Linked DNA regions of Mus musculus. The protein of the gene in region 1 purifies or fractionates together with the protein of each later gene. This does not show direct contact. Links are inferred from orthologs where the notes say so. Each region holds a gene or a part of one and is shown in the gene's direction. Other genes may lie near its edges.

Region 1 (4,102 bases):
GGTGACTTCTGTCAAGCACCCTCATCCAGAAGAGGATACTAATCAACTTCCTTCTTCACAGGATGGCTGTGGAGAGAAAGCTGACGGTGTAGCAGAACGCTTGGCATGTGGTAAGCACGCAGTGCACATTTTTGTTGTTTTTACTATTATATGGCTTATACCTCTTCCAGTAATTTAGCCTATTGAAGCTTTCCTTTGCTCTCTGGTATTAGTGTGGCTTTCTGGCTTCGTTACACATCCCCTGAAATCCTATATCCTCACTCAGATACCTCTACATGGATCCCAAAGACCACCATGTCCTCAACTGTCTGTGCTAGGTTTCTTCTCTTTCATGCACGCGAAGCGGTAGCCACGACAGGTTGAATGTATCTTATCTTAAAGGTAAGACATCTTAGCTTAATGCTGTTCTTTTGAATTTCTTGCTGGCCTCAGTTTGCATGCTCTTCTTTGGTTATTTTTGAACCTCTTCCTCCAGCTGAAATCCCTAACCCCTCCTTTATATCCATTACTTGAAACACATGTTCATGTACTCTGACTTACTTGTAGAACATGGACTTTCTATGTTCTGAATCCTCACTGCTCTTGTATTGTCCTGTGACCTCTCATCTCTGGCTCTACATGGACCTCTATAGGAACCTTGTGACCAGTCTTCTGCTCCTGGAATCTTGGAAATACTCGTTTGGAGTATTGCATCATCAGCCTTATCACTCACTTGTGCCTGTCACCCCACCTCTCAGGCTCTACTACTTGCCACCATCCTGCCCCTGTTACGTGCCTCCCACTGGTCTCTGCTCTGCACAAAGCCACTGTATCTGTGAGGACACCTCAGTCACTGTCCTCCTTGAGGAATGAACTCTAACCTCATTTACAGTCTGGTGTCCTCCCAACTCACACAGCTGATAACTCATTTGCCTCTACCAATGGACTATGAGCTTTCCAGAGCAGGGCACTGTTTTTGTTGGTACTGAAGCAGTGTTAGTAAAAGAAGGGAAAGTCTTGCAAATAAGCATACATCTTTCCTACAATTTAAGAGTGAAATCCAAACAACTGCTGTTGCCTTCTGCTTGTTTTTCCTCAAAACACACACTCCGTGCACCTTAACAGCCTTTTTGAAAGCCGCAATTAAATGGATTGAAACTACTCTTTGAAGGGCAACAGATAGTTCTTTCCTGTATGAGCTAGGTGCCTCTTGAGACCCTCACCTGGCTTCTGTAACCCTGAAACAATCTCTTGATGTCTCAATGACCTGAGCCTTCTTGACTCTTCCTTTAGTTCTTTTACTGTAGGTATTCGCCCAGATTTAACTCGCTGACCATCTCCTTATTCATCTTGTCCCACCATGCCAAGCATGCCAACCTAGGTTTTAGTTATCAGCTTTTTGCAGTTTGTTTTACACAGAGTCTTGAATTTGCATCCCTTCCTAATTCCACTTGCTACCGGATCACTCAAAGCAGATGTGTCTCACCTGGACCACTCACATCCCTCGTCCATAATGGCAGCTCTCCTCAGAAGGCTTTCATTATTCACCTCGGTTCCTTGGCATAGGTGTTCCATCTGCTCAGAAAATTCATTCCTCATGAATTCCAAGCACCTGATTCCTGATAAATAGCGTGAACTGTCCTAATCATTCCTATGGGAGACCTTTTCTCGGTTCCCATTACATAATAAAACTTGGCATGCTTAAAATCTGTATCTTTTAGCCACCTTCCTATTGCTGCCTGCCATGCTGTTGTAACTCAGTCTACTTCTGCCCGGATGACTCCCCATCATCCTTACCTTCCTTTTATTCTGTCTAGCCAGATGTCAAATGCTACGTACTGAACTATGCGTCACTATCTCTTTCTGTTCTTAGGGGCAATATATTGCTTCTGGCCCTCTTTTACTTCGCTCCAGGCCATTATATTTGCTGGTCAACCATTTCTTTAAAGCTCCCAATTTTTAGAAATGCAAGAGAACCTAAGTCAGAAAGTATGGACTAAGGTTCTTGGTTTTGACCCATACTACTTATCTTTATTTACACAGAGATTCGGTATATATTAGTTTAATGCCAGACTATGTTTCAGGCTTCTCTGTACTCAATATTGGAATATAGTAATGAGTCAGACAGATGTCGTCCTCTCTCTTCTGGACCTCACCACATGATGAATATGTGCCTGTTTCTCATATCATAATCCAATACAGGGACCATCTCTCCGACTCTTGATGCTTGTAGTTTGGGATTTGTCCTGTATGGAGTGTCTTAATGCCAGGTAGTATTGTCAGTCTATGTGTGTTACATAGTAGCCATTTTTTTTAGGTTCTGTGAAAGGCAGGAACCATGAGCCATTTTCCATTTTCCATAGTGTAAGCACAGAATTATGCACATATTAGTTGCTTGGTGACTTTGGTGTGGTTTCATACATCCAAGGTTAGTAGTCTTTGCCATCACTGTGGTGCCAAATATGGTTTTAAGCATCATTCAGCTCATGTTAGGTAATTACCTTTCCTTCTAAAGCCTCTCTTTTGCATAACAATACCCAACCCCGCCCATAACTATTATCAGTAGAATTCACATGTTTTTAACCTGTGTCCCTTATGTTTTTTAAAAAGGAAGAACAAACCAGTTATGGTTCCTGGGAGAAAAACTGGTCCAATTGCATACCACGGAATACTGAAATAATGTTCTTTTTACTAAAGAGCTTTTTGGCTTGATAATGAACAATATGTTGTTTTTTCCTGGGAAATAGTTCTAAAACTTCAGTTCCGAAGATTAAATTTTACTTTCACGCATTTCTGCCTGCTGTTTGTTTTGAAGTCCTGGTGATCTTGCATTAAGCATTTGTCTGTATGAAACAATAGGTTAACTATAGCCAAATTATTACCATACCTTTTCCCTGCACACACACACACACACACACACACACACACACACACACACAAATCCTATAAACAGCGTGTGATTGCTTGCTTCTAGGATTTATGATTGTTTTCTTCCAAAAGGAAGCTAAATTTAGCCTAGTGATTCTACATGCTCCCAAGGAAACAATGCCTGCTGTGATTTCTAGAATAAATGAATCTGAGCCACAGTTCCTTTACTTGACTAAACAAGAAAGTTTAAGCATCAACCTAGTCATTAGCCACAGATAGAAACCCACATTAAGCAAGCAGCAAGGGTTAAGACACAATGTGCTGTGTTTCTTATTGAGCTGCTGAATGCCATTCAGTTGCTGTGTGGCCTCAACACAGAACATTGTTTGCATCACAGAATGGTCCTTGAACATGACTCGTTTGTGGCCTGACTTCTAAAATTAAACTATGTGGAGTCATGTCCAGCCCTACAATACATCTTTATGTGAAGCTAGCTAGCAGTTTTTTTCTTTTTCATTCTATGTAAATAAAATTCCAGTTAGGAAATGTTATTTCTGATATCGAAGCTGGAGGAGTCATGCTTCCATTTCTCTCTTTGTTTCTAATGACGACTAAAGGGCTCTTGCCTGAATGTGTCTTGGCAGATCAACTCCTCACAATGAAGGCTCCCACCGTGCTGGCACCTGGCATTCTGGTGCTGCTGTTGTCCTTGGTGCAGAGGAGCCATGGGGAGTGCAAGGAGGCCCTAGTGAAGTCTGAGATGAACGTGAACATGAAGTATCAGCTCCCCAACTTCACGGCAGAAACCCCCATCCAGAATGTCGTCCTACACGGCCATCATATTTATCTCGGAGCCACAAACTACATTTATGTTTTAAATGACAAAGACCTTCAGAAGGTATCCGAATTCAAGACCGGGCCCGTGTTGGAACACCCAGATTGTTTACCTTGTCGGGACTGCAGCAGCAAAGCCAATTCATCAGGAGGGGTTTGGAAAGACAACATCAACATGGCTCTGCTTGTTGACACATACTATGATGATCAACTCATTAGCTGTGGCAGTGTCAACAGAGGGACTTGCCAGCGGCATGTCCTTCCTCCTGACAATTCTGCTGACATCCAGTCTGAGGTCCACTGCATGTTCTCCCCAGAAGAGGAGTCAGGGCAGTGTCCTGACTGTGTAGTGAGTGCCCTCGGAGCCAAAGTCCTCCTGTCGGAAAAGGACCGGTTCATCAATTTCTTTGTGGGGAATACG
Region 2 (4,102 bases), on another chromosome or scaffold:
ACGATGGGATTTGGCTCAGACCTAGGGAGGGTATAGAGATGCCACAGTTGCTCACTGAGTCAGAAAGGTGAAGAGGGTCCAGGCAAGTGGGCTGGGAATGGGGGAGGAGCCAAGCTCTGAGGCCTCTAGGGTGTGGCTTAGGAGAAAGTATTAGGTGTAGCTGCTGGAGGAATTAGCTTCCAGAAAGGGGATGGCAGAAGATGGGGCCGCAGACAAGGTGAGGGTGAAAGATGAATGCACTGAGGTAAGGCTAAGGAGCGGGCTACTGTCGGGACGGCTGGCAGAGACTAGGACCTAGGGGGTGGTTGTCCTGGGAGATTATCCAGGCAGGGTCTCAGTGTTGCTTTTTGTTACCTGTAGGACACCCCGGATGCTTTTCCATGTGGCTCTGACCACACACCCAGTCCCATGGTCAGCTGTGTCCCTTTGGAAGCCACGCCAATTCTGGAGCTACCAGGGGTTCAGCTAACAGCTGTGGCTGTCACCATGGAGGATGGACACACTATTGCTTTCCTGGGTGACAGTCAAGGACAGTTGCATAGGGTATGTCCTTAGGAAGTTCTGAGGCTGGGATGTGTGACGTGTGGCATGCTACAGGCCACCCCAGCTGTGTGTGCCGCTCCTCTGAGGGTTGGGTGGTATTTACCTGTGATCTTCCTCACATACCCATAAACCTTGCCCAAGGCTGGTTGTAATGAACCTGTCTTGCCTGGGATTCATCTAGACCAGGCTGTTCTCAAACTCACACAAATCTGCCTGTCTCTGCCTCCAAGGTACAAGTATTAAAGACTGCCTCCCCCCACCTGTCAAAAGAGAAAATTATTATTCATAAATTGTTTCAGTTCTAAGTGGAGGAAGGTCTTGAGTTTGTGGCTTTGAGCTTGGTGCCAGGCCTTGTGGTCTTTCATCTTAGGTCTACTTAGGCCCTGGAAGAAGTGCTGCCCCATATTCTAAACAGAGCATCCAGCCGGGGTCTCCTGTGAACAGAGATCTTACCTTTGATGGTACCTTTGAGCATCTCTATGTAGCAACTCAGACTACTGTAAGTCCTGGACACAGGCCAGGGGTGACTGCTGGGAGGGGCTTCTGGGCAGATACTGGGACCCATATGTGGGCGAGGCACTGGTTTTCTGACTGCCAGCCTCAGGTCCTCTTTGCTGTCACAGCTTGTGAAGGTTCCTGTGGCTCCTTGTGCTCAGCATCTGGACTGTGACTCTTGCCTTGCTCACAGGGACCCTTATTGCGGATGGTGTGTGCTCCTGGGCAGGTTAGTGTTCTATCTACCAAATCCCCGACCTGGGCTTGTGCCTCTATAACGGCTTCTTGACCTTGTCCATTGACTCTCAGCCGCTAACATGTGGGTACCCAGCCCCCAGTTCTTTATCCACTCACTGCCCAGAGCTTTAGCTCCCTGCCATAGCAGACACAAGAGCCTGGTATCAACTTCACGTGAGGGCTGTGACCAGGGAAGTCCTCAGGACTAGAGAGATGTCTCTGCCGTGTGACTTCTCGATGGCTGCCGGAGGGTCACAGTTATATGCTGGTTCTTCTTAGGTGTAGTCGCCGGTCGGAGTGCTCAAGGGACCAGGGCCCAGAGCAGTGGCTGTGGAGCTTCCAGCCGGAACTGGGCTGTCTTCGAGTGGTGGCCGTGAGCCCTGCCAATATCAGTCGGGAAGAGAGGAGGGAGGTGAATGACCAGAGTGGGCGGGGCCCCAGTGGGGAGAGCTATGGAGATGGATGGAGACCTTGGATTTTTGTGTCGTTGCATCAAATACCACATGTCCTTGCTCAGCTATTTCTCTTGGGCCTTGGGTTTCTCTATCTGTTATCAATCAAGGCCAGAGAGTATTTGGGAGGGATGCCAGCACCAGCCTGTACTTGATGCCCTTAAATGAGAGTCTGTAGCCTACCATGCAGTGGTGCCTAAAGTGTGCCCTTTGCTTTCTCGGTAGGTTTTCTTGTCAGTGCCAGGCCTGCCATCTCTCTGGCCAGGGGAGTCATATTTCTGCTACTTTGGAGACCAACAGAGTCCTGCTCTACTGACCAGTTCTGGTGTGATGTGTCCCTCCCCAGACCCCAGTGAGGCTCCAGTGCTGCAGAGAGGAGCCGGTGGGTGAGAGAAGGGGCCAGCCCTGGACCTGGGAGCCCACCCCTGCTTCCATCTTGCTCTAAGAGGTCTTACTGGGATGAGAAATAACTCTAGAAGATCCTAGATGTGCTCTAAGTCCCCTTACTGGCTCCAGGACCCCAGTGTTGGTGCTATGTCCTCTGACCCTAGTTCCTGTCTATTTGGGGTGCCAGCCTCATCCCATGTAGGTCCCCAGCCTTCCCTACTCTTCAGTTCTGGCACTCTCCCCCATTTTGCAGACCATATCTCTGTGAACGTGGAGCTCAGGTTTGGTGCCGTGGTGATCGCCAGCACCTCCCTCTCCTTCTATGACTGCGTGGCAGTTACTGCGTCTTCCCCATCTGCACCGTGAGTTCCTTACCTTGTCTGTCCCCAGATCTGGGCTCCCTTACTGTGGTCTCTGTTTCATGACTGACTGGCTGTACTGTGCGCAGGTGCCGGGCCTGTGTGAGCAGCCGCTGGGGCTGTAACTGGTGTGTGTGGCAGCAGCTGTGCACACACAAGGCCTCGTGTGACGCTGGGCCTATGGTGGCAAGCCAACAGGTTAGTGGGACTCCAGGATGAGGCATGTTGAGGGTGGAGCCTGGGGTTCCCAGGGTGAGGGTTTTCTGATGGCCTGGGATCTGTGTGCCCGCCAGCCTCCTGTGAAGCTCTGTCCTGAGCACCCCAGCTGCTTTGTGTGACAGAGTCACTGGAGAATGGCTGCTTGTCCATCCCATCTGTTTTGGGGAGGACATTTAAGCTGAGAGGCAAGAGGTGTGGTCCTGGTTCCCCACCTCAGCACAGACCCCCGGAGCCTGCCTTGCGTGCTTCTGCCTTAGAGAATTAACGGGATGTTTTTGTTTCTCTTTCCTCGGTCTTTTTCCCTCTTAACATACCCTTGCCTGCCTGCCCCTGCACTTGCCTGCTGAGTGACCTTCCTGTCTGTCTTGACCTTTCCTTCAGAGCCCACTCCTTCCCCTAATCCCTCCTGCAAGGGATGAACTCACCCCTTTCCCACCCACAGTCCCCCAAACCACGGTCACTCCTACCCCCAACAGCTTCCCAATAGAGCCTAGGGCTCCCTCCACAGCCTCAGATGTCCTACCTGGGGCCAAGCCTTCCCGGCTCAGCCTCTGGGGCCCATGGGCAGGTCCTGGCCCCATACTTTCCCCTACTTCCACAGAGTCACCTCTTCATGAGAAGCCCCTTCCTCCTGACCCCCCTACCATACCTGGAACCACTGTCCCTGCCCCCACTGGCTTGGGACCATCGACCACACCTGAGGACCTCTTGGCCTCCTACCCATTCCCCTCAGATGCAGCTGCAGTGTCCCCTGCAGAGCCTGGCCCTGAGGCTCTGCCTTCCATGGTGGCTCTGGACCAGCCCCCTGGCACTGTTCCAGACACTACTTTCCCAGGGGCCCCTGGCTCCATGAAGCCCGTTCTGGATTGGCTCACCAAAGGAGGCGGCGAGCTGCCCGAGGCGGATGAGTGGATGGGGGGTGACACGCCCGCCTTCTCCACTTCCACACTCCTCTCAGGTGATGGAGACTCAGCAGAGCACGAGGGCCCTCCTGCCCCCCTCATCCTCCTGTCCAGCCTCGACTACCAGTACGACACCCCCGGGCTCTGGGAGCTGGTGAGGTCCAGCCCAGGAAGGAGGCCTCGGGAGGGGAGGGGAAGACACAGCCATTTGCTTACCCTGGGATTGATTCTCCTTTGGGAGGGTGAGAACCTAGTGTTGCCATGGAACCAAGCAAGGTAGAGGACTGAGGCGGTCAGGGTGGGAGCCACAGACTGCCTCACCCTTGGTGCCTGCAGGGAGAGGTGAATCAGAGGGTGAGCTCCTGCCCCTGTGTGGAGACCGTCCAGGGCTCCTTGCTGATACCGGTCCATGTGGAACGCGAAGTCCAGCTTCGAGGCAGGAACCTGTGGCTTTTCCAGGTGTGTTTGCCTATCCAGCTATCAGCTTTCCCTCGAGCTGCTTGGCTAT

Evidence for each region. Proteins that work in one complex are often made in the same cells at the same time.
Region 2: the proteins of Met (region 1) and Plxnb1 purify together in Homo sapiens (co-immunoprecipitation; 3 studies listed by IntAct). This does not show direct contact. The link is inferred for Mus musculus from reciprocal best matches to the Homo sapiens genes MET and PLXNB1.

Annotation. Positions count from the first base shown.
Region 1 is NC_000072.6:17,487,736-17,491,837, forward strand, and holds part of Met (hepatocyte growth factor receptor precursor), read left to right. Parts: intron 1-61; 5' UTR 62-110; intron 111-3,491; 5' UTR 3,492-3,505; coding exon 3,506-4,102. UniProt on the Homo sapiens protein: Receptor tyrosine kinase that transduces signals from the extracellular matrix into the cytoplasm by binding to hepatocyte growth factor/HGF ligand. Regulates many physiological processes including proliferation, scattering, morphogenesis and survival.
Region 2 is NC_000075.6:109,101,661-109,105,762, forward strand, and holds part of Plxnb1 (plexin-B1 precursor), read left to right. Parts: intron 1-360; coding exon 361-543; intron 544-913; coding exon 914-1,042; intron 1,043-1,166; coding exon 1,167-1,267; intron 1,268-1,554; coding exon 1,555-1,687; intron 1,688-1,952; coding exon 1,953-2,109; intron 2,110-2,367; coding exon 2,368-2,476; intron 2,477-2,562; coding exon 2,563-2,671; intron 2,672-3,073; coding exon 3,074-3,748; intron 3,749-3,930; coding exon 3,931-4,053; intron 4,054-4,102. UniProt on the Homo sapiens protein: Receptor for SEMA4D. Plays a role in GABAergic synapse development. Mediates SEMA4A- and SEMA4D-dependent inhibitory synapse development. Plays a role in RHOA activation and subsequent changes of the actin cytoskeleton.